3 linked regions of the Drosophila melanogaster genome follow. The protein of the gene in region 1 purifies or fractionates together with the protein of each later gene. This does not show direct contact. Each region holds a gene or a part of one and is shown on either strand. Other genes may lie near its edges.

Evidence for each region. Proteins that work in one complex are often made in the same cells at the same time.
Region 2: the proteins of CG5033 (region 1) and l(2)k09848 purify together in Drosophila melanogaster (affinity purification with mass spectrometry, with the first as the bait; one large-scale study listed by BioGRID). This does not show direct contact.
Region 3: the proteins of CG5033 (region 1) and RpL7-like purify together in Drosophila melanogaster (affinity purification with mass spectrometry, with the first as the bait; one large-scale study listed by BioGRID). This does not show direct contact.

The regions. Positions count from the first base shown.
Region 1 is NT_033778.4:17,787,259-17,793,217, forward strand, and holds CG5033 (uncharacterized protein), read left to right. Parts: upstream 1-2,420; 5' UTR 2,421-2,488; coding exon 2,489-2,590; intron 2,591-2,660; coding exon 2,661-3,975; intron 3,976-4,038; coding exon 4,039-4,526; intron 4,527-4,586; coding exon 4,587-4,882; intron 4,883-4,945; coding exon 4,946-5,099; 3' UTR 5,100-5,190; downstream 5,191-5,959. Other genes in the region: aft (adrift), read left to right, coding at 1-1,155; Ubc10 (ubiquitin conjugating enzyme 10), read right to left, coding at 1,380-1,844. UniProt on the Drosophila melanogaster protein: Required for maturation of ribosomal RNAs and formation of the large ribosomal subunit.
Region 2 is NT_033778.4:6,073,655-6,078,926, forward strand, and holds l(2)k09848 (lethal (2) k09848), read right to left. Parts: upstream 2,714-5,272; 5' UTR 2,605-2,713; coding exon 2,517-2,604; intron 2,461-2,516; coding exon 1,410-2,460; intron 1,347-1,409; coding exon 1,226-1,346; 3' UTR 817-1,225; downstream 1-816. Other genes in the region: CG7849 (uncharacterized protein), read left to right, coding at 3,322-3,451, 3,507-3,719, 3,769-4,379; SmydA-5 (SET and MYND domain containing, arthropod-specific, member 5), read right to left, coding at 5,196-5,272.
Region 3 is NT_033779.5:12,053,756-12,059,067, reverse strand, and holds RpL7-like (ribosomal protein L7-like), read right to left. Parts: upstream 2,721-5,312; 5' UTR 2,647-2,720; coding exon 2,636-2,646; intron 2,570-2,635; coding exon 1,921-2,569; intron 1,854-1,920; coding exon 1,740-1,853; 3' UTR 1,176-1,739; coding exon of another isoform or gene 855-1,175; 3' UTR 817-854; downstream 1-816. Other genes in the region: Rab3-GAP (Rab3 GTPase activating protein), read left to right, coding at 41-238, 302-478; CG34164 (uncharacterized protein), read right to left, coding at 855-1,175; JhI-21 (juvenile hormone Inducible-21), read left to right, coding at 3,772-3,983, 4,570-4,765, 4,984-5,086, 5,144-5,312.

The DNA of each region.
Region 1 (5,959 bases):
CTGAACTACAACAAGGACCATCCCGACTTGCCTCGTTTGCTAGAGGAGATAAAGAGCAAGCTTGCTCAGCCGAATGACACATTGGTAATGCCACTGTTTGCCAAGTTCCAGATTCCCCACGACTTTCTCATGCAGCACGAGATCGCCTGCCGTATGTACATGAAGCTTCAAACGGATGCCATCGAGGGCAGTATCTATGCCTACGAGTCCAATGATCGTCATTATCTGAGACATCTTCATCACCTGCGCAGTCTTGTCGCGAACACCTACTACAGTCTATACAAAGTGAAGCCATTAGAAGATAGCCTGTGCATCGTGGACAAGGAGGCCACCAGTAAGGCTCTGGGATTCCAAGTGCCTGTCTATGGCGGTTCCTACACAGAAAGGGAGTCCTTGAAACACGGTGACCTTCTCAAGCAGATTTACTGCTTGCGTCGGGAATTTAATCAACTGGAGAAGTGTCTTAACAATAGAACACCGTATTCATACGTTAAGAACAGAACGGCACCCTTGAATCTTCACATTTCACGAGGAGCACCTGTTCAGAGCCTGCAAAGCAGCATGTTTGCCTCGGAACCAATACTCATTCTGCGCCTTCGCATCCTGGACACATTTGAACTCGACCCTGTCTGGCAGTCTGCGCCAAAGTGCCAGTTGGAAAGCAAGACACTATGCTACCTGCCACCAACAGAAGACGAGGCATTCCACACCGCCCAGCAGCGCTTTTTCATTGATCTCCTGGAAGAAGTAAAGAAATTGAAGCCCGACAGCATTGTCTTCCACAAGTTCCTGTTTCTCACCCATTACGCGGCGTCGCTGCTCTTATTTCTCATAGAGAGCGTTTATCAGGATTGTTGTTTTAATAGCAATCAAGCGCAAACTCTCACGTTGAGTAAGCTAAAAGATACGGCTAACAGTGCCTTGGAACAGGTGCTGGAACTTCTTAAGGACGAGCAGGCGGGGGCCATTCACAGCCTGCTGGACATTAAGGAGCTGCAGAAGAACCAGTTCAGCAAGGCCCTCATTCAGCACAACAACAGCATTGTAATGACCTGCTTCCGTAGCATGTTGGGCGAGGAATCATTTCCCATGCCCGTAGCTCCGACATCCAACTCAGATGTCGGTTCCATCCAAGAGTCGGCAGCTGTATTTTAACATAACGAACATGTATTTCTCACTTGCATCAAATTACAGTGCTACTTTTACAAAACTAGGTACTCTGCCGGGGAAATATCTGCTTAAATGTTTTCTGAGGATAGTTTTTCATGGATCAAGAATGAAAATTAAATAACTAACAGAAAAATCACAAGACTAAGGGGTAAGGGTACACATGGGTTGTGGACTGGCCCACCTCCTCCAGCTCTACCTCCGCCTATCCGCTAGTCGGCCGGACGTTTTTCGCTGTGCTTCTTGGTGTAGTCCTCGGCGTTTTTCACGAATTTTTTGCGATCCTTAAGAAACTCCTCGGCCAACTCCGCCCGCAGCGGATGCTCCGGCTCAGGGTCGTTGATTAAGTCCACCAGTGCCTGCACGACCTGGTCGGTGCGTGTGGCCGGTTTCCAGTTCTCCGTACTGATAATGGGCAAGCACACCTGGCCCTTCTCATCGATGTTTGGATGGTAGATGCGTGTCTTAAAGTTAATCTTGGGCGGCTTGAAAGGATACTCCGCCGGAAAGTTGATCTCGATGCGGAAGGCGCCCTTGTTGTACGGCGGATTGTCCGGGACAATCAATCCCGTCCAGCGCAGCAGGTTGTCATCGTCCGCCTTAATGTCCCGGAAGGACTTCAGTGCGTTGCCCTGCAAATCGCTCAATTCTTTTCGCAGGCGTCGCGGCGCAGTCATCGTGATGTCTATGTGTGGGTTCTCTTATGCTGGTGTGTGCGTAGGTGTGTGTGGAACGGAAAGAGGAGGGGGCCACCTTGCCAATGTGTGCGTGTGCACTTTTGTTTGCCCTTGTGTGAGCTGCAAATCGATGGTTTTGTCTTCCGGATATGTAATACTCTCGTTCAGCCGCCGGTGTTTCGTTGTTGGTGAGCTCCTAGTGCTCCAGTTGCGGGGTGTCACCTTTGGTTTTCGCACTGGCCCAAAAAAATCCGCACGTAAGTCTGCGAATTTCGCTGAAAATGGTTCGTTGAAGAATCTTCCAATTAGCGTTAGGGTATTTTGCAGACTTGCTCGCAACGGCGCTGCAATTGGTATACATATACATTGGTCATGTATAACTTTGTCTTGATTTTGCAACTTGCAACGGCTGTAATATTATGTTTAATACTAAATAAATCTTTATTGGAAAGTATTTATTATAGATGTATATTTTAAGAGAGGTAACAAATGAAAATAAAAGGGTTGCTGTTTCCAAATGGATTTGTAACCGATTACCAGCAGCAGTGGCGGCAAGCCAATCGATAGGCAACCGTTTCAGGCGATTCCCATCGCTATCGCTGACTGCAACACGTGCGCCGCGTTAGTTTTGTTTTTACCTCAAAATGACCAAAAAACTAGCTCTGAAACGCAGAGGAAAGGATTCGGAACCCACAAATGAAGTGGTGGCCAGTTCCGAGGCTTCCGAAAACGAGGAGGAGGAGGAGGTAAGACCCATTGACAGTGATATAAAAAGTCATTTCAAAATGACCTGCATGTGTGTTTGTGCTCTTTAAGGACCTGCTGCAAGCTGTAAAAGATCCCGGCGAAGATTCAACAGATGACGAGGGCATAGACCAGGAATACCACTCGGATTCCAGTGAGGAACTGCAGTTCGAGAGCGATGAGGAGGGCAACTACTTGGGCAGAAAGCAATCTTCATCAGCTGAGGAAGATGAAGAAAGTAGTGATGAAGAGGATAATGAAGAGGAGGAAAGCACTGATGGAGAGGAAGTGGAAGATGAGGAGAAGGATTCCAAGTCAAAGCAAACAGACGATAAGCCCAGTGGAAGCGGTGCCGCGTCTAAAAAAGCCCTTACAGCAGAGCTCCCGAAACGGGATAGCTCGAAGCCTGAGTATCAGGATTCAGATACCTCCGACGAGGAGGACATAAGAAATACTGTAGGCAACATACCCATGCACTGGTACGACGAATACAAGCACATCGGTTACGACTGGGATGCCAAGAAGATTATTAAACCACCACAAGGAGATCAAATTGATGAGTTCCTGCGTAAGATCGAGGACCCAGACTTTTGGCGTACCGTCAAGGATCCACTTACCGGTCAGGATGTGCGCCTAACAGACGAGGACATTGCTCTGATCAAGCGCATCGTTTCGGGTCGCATACCCAACAAGGATCACGAAGAGTATGAGCCCTGGATCGAATGGTTCACATCGGAGGTGGAAAAGATGCCCATCAAGAACGTACCCGACCACAAACGCTCTTTCCTGCCCTCAGTTTCCGAGAAAAAGCGCGTCTCTCGCATGGTGCACGCCCTCAAAATGGGCTGGATGAAGACCACTGAGGAAGTGGAACGCGAGAAGCAGGCCAAGCGCGGTCCCAAGTTCTACATGCTGTGGGAAACGGACACCAGTCGGGAACACATGCGCCGCATCCACGATCCAGTCTCTGCGCCCAAACGCGACCTTCCCGGTCATGCCGAGTCCTACAATCCACCGCCAGAGTATCTTTTCGATGCCAAGGAGACCAAGGAGTGGCTTAAACTAAAGGACGAGCCACACAAGCGCAAGCTGCACTTCATGCCACAGAAGTTCAAGTCGCTGAGGGAGGTGCCCGCATACTCGAGATACCTTCGGGAGCGTTTCCTTCGTTGCCTGGATCTTTACCTGTGTCCCCGTGCAAAGCGTGTCAAGCTGAACATCGATGCCGAGTACCTTATCCCCAAGTTGCCCTCGCCGCGTGACCTGCAACCCTTTCCCACGGTGGAGAGTATGGTTTACCGTGGCCACACCGATCTGGTGCGGTCTGTTAGTGTGGAGCCCAAGGGAGAGTACCTCGTCTCCGGTTCGGATGATAAAACCGTCAAGAGTAAGTACTAATTTAATTGACAACCTTTTAGATATCTTCTTACTAATCCATCTCACCTCACAGTTTGGGAAATTGCAACAGGTCGTTGCATTCGCACAATCGAGACCGACGAAGTGGTACGCTGTGTGGCTTGGTGTCCAAATCCCAAGCTGTCTATTATTGCGGTGGCCACTGGCAATCGCTTGCTGCTCGTCAATCCTAAAGTGGGCGATAAGGTGCTGGTGAAGAAGACCGACGATCTCTTGGCTGAGGCGCCCAGTCAGGATGTCATTGAAAGTGAACGCATCAAGACGGCGGTGCAATGGTCAAATGCGGAAGCTGATGAGCAGGAGAAGGGCGTCCGCGTAGTGATTACCCACTTCAAACCCATCCGACAGGTGACCTGGCACGGTCGTGGTGACTACTTGGCCACAGTGATGCCCGAAGGTGCTAACCGCTCGGCTTTAATTCATCAGTTGTCCAAGCGGCGCTCACAGATTCCATTCTCCAAGAGCAAGGGTCTCATCCAATTCGTGCTCTTCCATCCGGTGAAGCCCTGCTTCTTTGTGGCGGTAAGTGGGTTAATTTTCTTTTGTTAGTATGTCTTATTGAATTCTGTTTTTTCTTTACAGACGCAACACAACATTCGCATTTATGATCTGGTCAAACAAGAGCTTGTCAAGAAGCTGCTGACCAACTCCAAATGGATATCGGGCATGTCTATTCATCCCAAGGGCGACAATCTGCTGGTGTCCACCTATGACAAAAAGATGCTCTGGTTCGATTTGGATCTGTCCACAAAGCCCTACCAGACCATGCGACTCCATCGCAATGCAGTTCGCAGTGTTGCTTTCCATCTTCGATATCCGCTCTTTGCTTCCGGCAGCGATGACCAGGCTGTGATCGTCTCCCATGGCATGGTCTATAAGTAAGTGGCTATAAATCAACATTGCCCAAGGTTAATTACGAATTTCTCCAAACTTTTTTTTAGTGACCTGCTGCAAAACCCTTTGATTGTGCCTCTCAAGAAGCTGCAAACACACGAGAAACGCGATGAGTTTGGTGTGCTGGATGTTAACTGGCATCCGGTGCAGCCATGGGTCTTCTCCACGGGCGCGGACAGTACCATCCGACTATACACGTAATTTAGGTGTACAAACCCCAAGAAAGTTTCTTTTAGTTTCCGAAAGTTTTGTGAAATTTCAATAGTAAATAAAAAATATATTAATTTTTATGAAAAGTAAAGTATTTCATATAACCATTTCATTCGAACATTTTAAAAACAACGGTTTTCGAAATCAACGGGATCCCAAAATCAAAATGTAAGTGCAACCCTGCCGAAAGTTTATAAGTTCTGGCCCCAAAGCTTTGCGGTAAATTCCAGTGGGGCGAAGAGTCCCGAGCTTTATTCTCTTTTTCCGACTCGCGCACATGTCTTACCGTCCGTTCTCTCGCGCTCTCCGCCTGTCAGTCCCTCTCCTGTGTGTACCAGGAATTCTAACTGTATAGCAATTCCACAAAGCTTTTCGCTCAGTCCACCTATGGAGCCCTCCCCCGGCTGCCCACTTTCCACTCGCCGTTATCTTGCGTTCCTCGGGAGGAGCGCGCGCATTGGAAAATCAAAATCAAGAGCTGGCGACACGGCACTGCTTGGAAATCAGTCGCCTGCCTTTGCCCGAGCGGAGAGAATCTCGAAACGCTCGAATCGACCCGTCGAGGATTTTGGCTTCAGCTTCTGGGTGCTGCTGGTGCTGAGCAGCCAAAATCGCAGAGCGCAGAAATCGAATGGGAATTGGCTGCCATTGCGGGGGCACCGAGCACGAAGGAATATAATAAAATATGGCCGAGGGCGAAATGTGAAAATGTGAAAATGCCAGTCCAGGCAGTCCAGTGACCACGAAAATTGCAGTTTCCCCCAATTCGTATTCATACACACACACACATTCTCAACAGTCAACGAAAAAAATCGTAAAGAAATTCACAAAAAAAAAATCGAAGCACAAGC
Region 2 (5,272 bases), about 12 Mb from region 1:
CCTGCTCGACTTTTAGCTCGAAAAAGAAATTAAAAGTTTTTAGTCTGATGTAGTTCAAATGAAATTTTAGGACTTGGCAGAGCTCAAAGCTCATGCTTTAATTTAGGTAAGGAATTATCACTCCAAATTCAAAAATATGCCATCTCGCGACTCCAACTTCGATTTAATGTCTCCGTTGCTGGGCAATTTTCTGGCTTTTCGGGTCGAGTAGCTGCAATGTTCATTTAAACATTAAATTTTAAATTGAACATCTGATGGAATTAAAATTTCAACTATGTTCCTAAACTCAAAATAATGAGCATTGTTGTTTAACATATTATGAATTCAGGAGCTCTGGCTTTATTTTCTTATACTTTTAAATTTTTAAAACAAAGCCGTTGTTTATCTAGAAACGAGTGGGAAATATTATTATTATAACGCATTTATAATAATCTATATTGCATTTTTCAGGAAAACATTTAATTCTAGTTTATGAGAAATATGAGTTTATAGGCAAACATATGTATATATGTCTTCAGATACTACACACATGATATTATGTGTATCTCATATTATGTGGCCAAAACGATTTTTACAGAAGCTTACTTAAGATGAATAATACCAAACTATTGATGGCTACAATATTAATTTTTCTCCGTTGCCGTACATCTATCTAGTGTAAATAAATATTTAAACATATGTAAGATACTCCTCTAGTAGGGATAAGATACTTATACTATAAGCCCATTAAAATGCCACTAAACCACGACTCCACATAACATAAATAAAAGAAAGGGTGAACCGCAAGAGTCGTCTCTTTAAATGAGGTTGCCTCCTACATTACTGTCCCCCAAAGCCAACATTTTTGAGAATTATGTTTTTAGAAATAGGAAATAAACAACACCTTATCTTAGACTGCAGAAGCTGCAATGTTTTTACAGACCCAACACTTCATTGAAAAAATGACAGGAAGGCCACGAATCCATTTTTATGCTGGGGGTAAAACACTATAATCGCAGTCGACGTTTGTTGCTTCCATCTTTACAATATAATTTATTTTAAGTACTTGCACGCACCTCATGTTCCCTTGCTCGACAGTCAGTTCAGAATGTAATATGCAACGAAACTTTTTTAAAACAGCTCTGTGTCTACCTACGATGCCATGTTTGTTAGTTCTTTAATATAAAAACCACCGAAATCTATACTATTTTTTCTTTAATATTCTTATACGTAAATACATGTCGCTTTAACTAATCACAACTTTTTTCTTTTTGTTTTTTAAAGACTTTTCCGACGATCTTCTTTTTAGATCGGCCTTTGAAAGCTTAATATTAGACATCTCTTCCTCGGACTCATTATCGCTGTCACTGTTGGCCAAAATATAAGATTTTAGCGTATTATTAAATCACTCAATATGTAGTTAAACTTACCCCACAGTGGGCATCTGATCAAACATATCCTCGTATTCATTGTCCACAGATGTTGCGTTGACGCTCTTATTTTCACTCACGTTTCTATCCATTTGAAGGTCAGCGACCTCCTCAGGTTCTTCTGTTACTCGTGCCTCGTTTTCAAACGGTCGGATAAGAATCTTAGTGGCCTTTGATTTCACGTAGCATTGGTAGAGCAGCACTGTGGTTTCGGAATCATGGATACGAACGTATCGGTCTAGGCTTGCAGAGCTCAGAAAGCGACCGGTGGCATCTAAATGAAGGTCACTTATCCCGCCTGTGAATCCCTTGTACGTATGCACATGAGTTTTCATGCGTCGAGTGTCAAAGGCTTTTAGAGCACCCATTGTGGTACCCGTGTAAATAAAGTTTCCCTTTGCCACTAAAGTCGTAAAACTCATCCCGTGCTCCTCGCTGGCAAAACATGCAACAGGTCGACGCTGCTTACGCGTGTCATAGATGCGAACATAGCCGGTTCGCGAGCAAGTGGCCAGTACACTAGGCCCATCCACAAAGCCGATATCGCTGTCCCAAACCGGAACCTCTAGCTGCAGATAGTCGTTGGGCAAATTCTTCGAGGTGAAAATCTGCTTACCGTCGGCATTTAAATCGTAGACCTTTAGATTGTTTTGACGCTCTTTGCCGCCAGTTGCTACAATGCTTTTGACTTGGGCGCACTGGCGCAGGTGGTCCATTTGGTCACCCGTGGCGATAACCACGGGCTCGGACTCGTCGTTCGCCTCTAGCTCCAGGCTCTGTATCTCTCCGTTGCCAATGCCGGCAATAAGCTTGTCATTGTATCGGGCCAGACCAACAATTGGCGCAGCATTGAAGGATACTGTGTTCCTAGAATGTCCCTTTTCTGTGAAGGAGTGAATCTCCACGGCGTCCTTGGCCCGGCCTAGAAGGATCTCCGTCTGATCGTCGTTGCCAAAGGCCAGAGATGTGACGCGGGAATCCTTATCCAGGGCGCACAGATCACTCAGGTTGCTTTGTCCATAAGGGGTCTTCTCGGATGCAGGCACCAGGTCTAAAAAGTTGAAGTCATTATTATTATGCTGTTCGATAAAGAACAAGCGGACGTACGTTTAAAGGAGCCCGTGTGTGTTCCCACATACAGTTCGTGCTTCGCCGTGTAGTTTACATGTTTGGTATTTGCAGTAGTCCACTTCATCTCAAGACGCGGTTTCTCTCAATACTTGCGATTAAAACGTGAATTAATGGTATGCGGCTATACAAATTCGTGCGGTCAAAACAAATCCTACACGTGCAATAGAGATGTAAAAGACATATGCTTAATAATCGATGTTATCGTTTATATCGATATCTAACGGCCACCGATATTTTAATAACATTTAGGGTAGTCACTAGGCTTCAGTTTGCTGTTTACCAGTTTAAAACATTTTTTTCGTTGAAAACCACTTCTCTTGTGAGAATATAGTGATACGCATAAGACTTTATTTGATTATAACTTCTTTAAGTGCAGTTTTGTTGTCATTTTAAATGCAAGCAAATAGTATGCAAGCCACAGTGAGAATATTCCCGTGAAATTTGTAAAATTTATAGAAAATTTTAGCCCAATCGGATTTGTTTCTTGTTTTTTCGTGCGGTGGACTTAATTCTTGTTTTGCAGTGATACAAGCATGTTTTTTTGCGGGTATAAAGACCACAACGTTTTGAGAATTATTTCCAACTAAACTTTTTTTTAGAAAATTAAAGAGATATTTGAAAACAACATTTTATATGTAAATTTTATAAATTAAGTTTCAAGTGCATGTCTATACCCTATTCAGTACTGGGCAGCACATGTGCTCAGCTGTTCGTGTGTGTTCACCAACACTGTCATGTGAATTTAAAAACAAATAGCGCACATACGTAACTTAAAGCAGAAATGGCTCTCACCAAAGTTTATGATGCCGCCACAGTGTTTAAGCACATGAATGGCATTCTAAATGTGTACAAGCCATCCGGTATGAAGGTGAAACACGTGCGCAATGCTATTCTGAGCAACATTTGCAAGGGTAAGCCTAGCGCCATTTAAAGAACAAATTGAAATTAAAAACAGATCTGCAAAAGGACTCAACGAAATGGAGCAGAGGAAACCACGCAAGTTGCAAGAGAACATTAGCCTCCTGGGCACAGGCACTGCAGCAGATCACGTACTACATAACATAGGAGAGCAGACGGATCTATCCGACCACCTTCTGTCCACCGGACCGCGGTACCTTCCGCGAGACTTGATCTGCACCACAGTGTCCAGCCTGGGCGATCACACCAGCGGAGTCCTGCGTAAGTCATGTAAAACATTTTAAATCCAGATCTAACCATACTTTTGTAGTCTTTGGGATCAACAGGGGAGCAGGCCAGTCTAGTTCTATTCGGAAAAATCGACCAGTGCGGGTCTACCATCTAATCGGGCACCTAGGCATCGCAACCGAAAATAACCTACCAGACTCACGGGTCATAATGCGCTCCAATCACCGACACGTGTCCGCAGACAGGATCAGCAGTCTAGCCGCCTCCATGCAGGCATCCCATCAGCGTAAGATGTTTGAGCTCTGCGGTGTCGATTTGCAGACCCAGGAGGCCTATGAACTGGCCTGTAGGGGTCTCCTACGCCCAGCGGACGACAGTCAGCCCGTCGTCTACGGCATTAAGCTGATTCACTTCGATCGACCGCACTTCACCCTGGAACTGCACGCCATCAACGAGACGCAGGAGTACTTAGCTACGCTAGTGCACGATATGGCTTTGGACCTCCGAACCGTGGCGCACTGCTCCCAACTACGCTGCGTGCGGCATGCCCATTTTGATGTGACAGATAGTCTGCTCAGACACGCCTGGCACTTGCCAGGAATTATCAAGAACCTCCGTCAACAACGTGACATCCTGAGGGCGCATCCACAGCTTCTGCGACAACAGCGAGTGGAACTGCGAGCTACAGATTAATTTAGGAATTCATTGTAATTGAATATAGTCAAATAAATATAGGCAGATAAACTATAAAGCAGTCAATCAGGTCAATAATTCTGGTAATAATTTTTGATAAGAATATGCAGAATATCTGCTTATTTAAGTCAGCATAGTTTATTGACGGTTACAGTTCAAAATAGGTCATTTATAAAAAAAAAACGTAAGACTCTAGTTTAGTAAAAGTAAGATGTTTAAAACGTGATCTTATTAGAAGCGGTAGCCAAAAACCATACATTTCACAAATTTTTTTTGAATTAATTCTAAAAACAAGGGAGATTGCTATAGTTGATAACCTCGACCCATCGAAGGGTCAGTTGTTCCAAATTATGTAAACTAATTTCTTCGGTGCTCAATATCATTAAGAAGTGATTTTTTTCAGGAAATGTGTCATATACCAAACCTTGTGAATTTCAATGGTCACGCAGTTGGTAATTTAAAGAGAAATAGGTAAAATTTGAAAATAAGCTATATAATTATAGCTCTACAAAGACATTTAGGTTCAGTAGGAAATAGATATTTATAGCTGTTTTCCCGGTTATCTAGCGGATTTTTCCAAAGAATCAAAAATAGCGCACATGTTTTTATTTTAAAATCTTATTTTATATATATCTTATAGTTTTTATAAGCAACCCAACAAAAATGTGTATTTTGAAAAGATTCCTAGTCTCGTTTTACAATTTCTTTTGAACGGCGCTTCATTGGATTTTAACAAAGTGTGATTTGTTTTAACAGCACCTAACAGCATCCGGTGTTCAAAATGTTCACTTGTACCACTTTCGCCGATCTAGAAAATTATTTTGTATTGGCTTCGTGATCTTGATTATAGGCAAGAGCTAAAATTAGTTTTTCGCACTCGAAGATTTCCATCT
Region 3 (5,312 bases), on another chromosome or scaffold:
GGAATAGAAAATATATTCCAAATATTTTTCCCTCCTCCAGGTGGTGGAACTGTACGCTTTTGGGTATGATGCGGAGGCTCAAGTGTTGCTCCAGGACATCAGCGATGACGAGGAGCTGGGCCGACTGCTGCTGGAGATCGCTGGCCGTAGACTTAATCTTTACGCACAGAGCTCGCAGTCCACGTTCCTGAAGATTGCCTCTGTTGGCCACCAGTTGCTGGCCTACCTAGACAACCTGGTAAGTGCTGCAAGCGCATATATCATTCGCAGTACTGATCCATTTCTCACGCCGCTTACGCAGAAGGAACCGATGACGGAGAACAACATTCAGATCGCGGCCACCAAGCCCGACGAGATCGATGTGGCTGCCCTGGACAGGCTGTTGTCGCATGCCTACAAATACCTTTGCCGGCGCGAGTCCAAGCAGCTGCCCATCATTGGCCAGATGTACAACGCCGTGCGTATCCTGCAGAATTAGGAGTGAGGATGACACATAAACACTTGGTTATTTTACATTTCTCTCATGATTTTTATGGATTCAAGAATGAACCCAATATTGATTGTTAAAGCACCACATGCGGTCCCATTAATTGTCTTATACTTATCAACCTAGTAGCGATTTAAACAACCTACGAAAAGCATCATATTAATTACTTTCAAGAAAAAGGATACTAAGATCTGCACCGATAGGAGGATGTATTCAACACGAATTTGATGTGAAGCTTATGCCTACAAGGATTATGAACATGTATATTTAATAAAATAAAAAAAAAAATTTTAATATTCTTTTACTAAATTTAAGGGATACCAAAAGATAAAATAACAATACTTTCTTTATTGATGCCCAACGTAATTTAATTTATATTTGAGCAGGGATCCAAGCGGGTCTTTGAACTTCGTGCCTTGGGCGCTGCCTCCAAGTTCTCCGCCTGTATTCGTCCGATTGCCTCCGGCGTGGGCAATCTCTCCGGCATCATGGTGGCGTGCACTTTGAGATGAGTGTAGACGGCAATGTAGCTCTGGCTGGTGTCCAGTTCGATGGGTGGACTCTGCTCTATGCGGCCAGGCAGGGCAAAGTGCTTGCCAAGAATGGGTTCCTTGAGAGATCGGGCCAGAATTTTTTGCAGTCCATCGCGGTCGGTGTCCAACTGCTCGCTGTTGAAACTTGAATTCATTGAGAATTAATTGAATCTAAGGATTTTGAATTCCAATGTGTAGTCCCTGGAGTTTTATCCGAACAAAAGATACGACGACCCGAGTTGCACTAGGTTAGTGGCACTGACTCCGACTAATCGAAAAACAACAGTTCCTCCTTCATGGCAACAAGTAGTTCAGTTTGGCATACCTTTCGTTTGCGAGGAGCCACCTCGGTTATGACTTATTTATTATTCGAGGCAGAAAGTTGATTCTCTGGTTTGTTCAATTTGGGAACTCGGCTGGGACACGCAAGGCCAAGAAGCAAAGAACTTGTTTCGTGGGTGAAGTTTATCATGTTGATAAACATGTAGAATAATGAGGAATGTCGTTAGAGACAGTTTCATGTGGTTCCTTAATAGTCGCAGGATTGCTTTTATAGGCATACAGTAAACTCACGATAGTGCTGACCTGACCATCTATTTTCTTCGTTAAATAAGTACGCTCAAATAGAATACGTTTGTATATAGATGTGTATTGGGCTTAGCTACAGAATGGGTTATAGAGGTTGAACAATCACTTAAGGGTTTACTAGGCTAGGGTCTCTACAGGCAGCGGGCAATCAGTTCGTTGATGGCAGTGCCACGATCGCCGTACTCGCCACCGCGTTTGTACGAGACGGATACCTTCTTTTGCCAACCATTGCTGGGACTGGACAACTGGAAAAAACCAAATGGCGGTAATAGTATAGTTTTAAGAATTGCAAAAGAGAAGTTGTTAACCAACCGTGAAGGCGCACAGAAACTCATTTACAGCGGCGAAGTTTGGACCCACTGTGCAAATTTCGTGGATTATATCCTCCAGACAGATGACACCCTTGTCGCCCAGCTGTTGCTCCACCATGGTGTTCGACTGGATGGCCGTCTTCTTGCCGTCGATGCGGGCGAAGCCCTTCTTGAAGACCAGCTCGCGAATGGAGCTCAGCGAGGGATTGCCGTAGACTACAAAGGGTTCGATAACGCGCAGCAGCAACTGGTTCTCCTTGGTGTTCTCCATGAAGACGGCGTTGTGGCGCGAGCCCATGCGCAGGGTTCGGAATATATCCGCGGTGGTCTTGTCGAAGATCTTCTTGCCCGCATGGCGCATCACGAAGAGCAGTTTGGGATTGGAATCGTCGGCAGCTTTGGCACTTTGTTCGGTGACATTGGTGCGCAGAATGGTTTGCTTGATCCGCTTGGACGTGCGCTCTGCTTTCAGGTAGCCCATTACGAAGGATTCGGCACGGCGGAATTTGTGGTGATTCTTGGTGGCGGTTCTCTTTTTGATGCGGTCATTTCTTTTCTGCGTAACAACAGATTCATCCTGCAGAATTCTCCTCTTGCGATGCTTTAGCACCGACACTGTTTTGCCGGGCAATTTGTTGGGCACCGCATATCTAGGGATCAAAAGTATAAGATAATGTTTAGGGTCAACACATTTTTATAGTTTTTCAATCACTCACTTGTCTGACATTGCTGGTATTTGGCTTTTTAATCGAAGTAAATTAAAACACGTGCAAGCACCAAAACAATAACTAAAAAGGATAGAGGTGGGCGCGGAGCGATAAGTGCTTTGCTATCGATAAGTGATGTGTGCAACAGCTGAGCGCGTTTCGTGGTGAATAGCTAACAAATTTGAAATTTTTGGCGGGAACATTTAAGAAATTGTATTATTCAACTGAAAACTATGCTTAATAGTTATGCCATAAGATAAATTTAGCATTAGCTAGCATTCAAGAGGACAGCTTTAATGTTTTCTTCTTGTAAGTAACCATTTGACATTAATTTCCGGTTTTGAGCACTCATTTCTCATTTTTTTTCTTTACACTCATTCTCTCTCTCTCTCTGTTTCTCTCTCCGTTTGCTGCTCTCACTCTCTCACTGCGTTTTAGGGTGAAAATTGCGTTAATTTTAGTATGAAAATGCCGGTCTCGATGCCAACGCACAGTCGCTGTTCGCAGTCAAAGCCGTTTTGTTGTGTCCGCGCTCTCGAGGTAAAATAAATCGTGTTTTACGTGCAAAGTCGCTGGGAACAAGATAAACCGAAATTAATCAGCCAAACTGCATTCCAAACCTTGCGAATAACCAACAAAAAAAAAAAGAAGCGAATAAAAGCAATCGAGCAATTGCCAGAAAAACTGCAACTCTGCAACTGCAAAATTCATTGCCACGCGTCGTAAGGTGATGACGAAATCGTGGAAATTGGCACGCGGCAAAGGCGTCACCATAAAAGTGGAGCTCCCCATTAGGCAGCTACACACCACAACATGCCAACCCCAAAAATCACCCTACTTTAAAGCTAAATTTCGTGTATCGAAGATAGTGGCGTCGGGGAAACATTCAAGTTTATGCCTGACAATGGGAGATTAGTTAGCTGCCAGCGAGGCAAAAATCGGGTCTTCTTCACTAGCAATTAGTAACTAAAATCAGCACTATAGCATTTGTTTACAATTTGCGCAACACGTGCTCGCGCCCCATTTGCTGATAGTAATGAAGGCTTTTTTTTCTACATTTCAACTTTTACCCTTCATTCCAGTGACAATGTGCGCTATTCGCCATTAGAAGAGGGTAAGCAGAAGAATCCCACAGTGCAGACATCATGACGGACCGATATGCCAATGGAGTGACCACCAGCCTGGTCGAGCCCACAAATGGATGCGCCGCGCCGGGTAATCCAAATCCCGCTGATGGCGAGGAGAAGATTGTCCTCAAGCGGAAGCTAACACTCATCAATGGAGTGGCCATCATAGTGGGCACCATCATTGGATCGGGCATCTTCATTGCTCCCACGGGAGTCTTTATTTACACCGAGTGAGTGGTGATACAGAGCATCCTCCTTAATTCAATTTATGCACAAAAAAGGTCAATTTAGCTGTTAATTAATGGATAGATTGTCGCAGGCATTCCTTTAGCACCAATTAAGATACATTTATTAGTTCTCGATTTTCCCTCAAAGATTCAACCTTGAAATTCTGCCCACATATTGCGTCAGCTTTTTAAAGTGTTTTTTTTTTTTAAGCGAATTGTCTCCAGTCACAAGAATAACGTCAATAAGGCGCGCCAAACATTTAAATTATTGATAAGAGCCACAAAAAAAGGTGTGCGTCATAAGCTTAAGGCGGCTGCGAAAAATTCCAGGAAGTTAAATTCATAAAAGTATTTTATCGAAATGAAAGCTAATCCCCAGCACTTGTTTTTTTTAGATGTTTTGTTTAAATACCATTTTACTATTATTGCTTACAAATATTTGCCACCGAGTTAATATTAGATCTATATTTATAATTTTTATTGCTTTATATATATATATATGTATGTATTCCCTGACCATATTTGTTTACGAGTGTTTATTTTCATTCAAATTGTTTATTGATTCGATGACTACTTTAAATCATTTCAGATCCGTGGGAAGCTCCCTTTTGATTTGGCTGACTTGCGGCATTTTATCGACGATCGGAGCTCTGTGCTACGCGGAACTGGGCACATGCATCACAAGATCTGGCGGGGATTACGCCTACCTGCTGGTGTCCTTTGGACCGCTGGTGGGATTCCTTCGCCTCTGGATCGCACTGCTCATCATCCGGCCAACCACGCAGGTCAGTTCCTATAGTACTCATCAATTGAATTACGGAATGTTTACTTATTTGGCTTGATTGATCGATGGGTTGTTGATGCAAATAAATAGAAATTTATTAATGGGCGGCTACCTTCGACCGGAATTGAATTCAATTACGAGTAGGACAGCTTTCTCCGCTAGAAACAAATGGCATGTGGGATTTATAGTATGAATACATTGTTTTATTTTTTTTTTTAGACCATTGTGGCTCTATCTTTTGCCCATTATGCGGTCAAGCCATTCTTTCCGGAATGCGATCCCCCACAGAATGCGGTGAAACTGCTGGCTGCCATATGTCTAAGTAAGTTGGTTAAACAATCCACTCAATGTTAATTAATTGAAACTCCCACTCTCCCAGCTCTGCTCACCACAATCAATTGCCTGTCGGTGAAGGTGTCCATGAAAGTGCAGGATGTGTTCACGGTGGGCAAGCTGCTGGCCCTCATCATGATTATCCTGTCCGGACTGTACTACATGGCCACTGGCGAGCTGGAGAACTTCAGAAATCCGTGGGAGGGTATCTACAC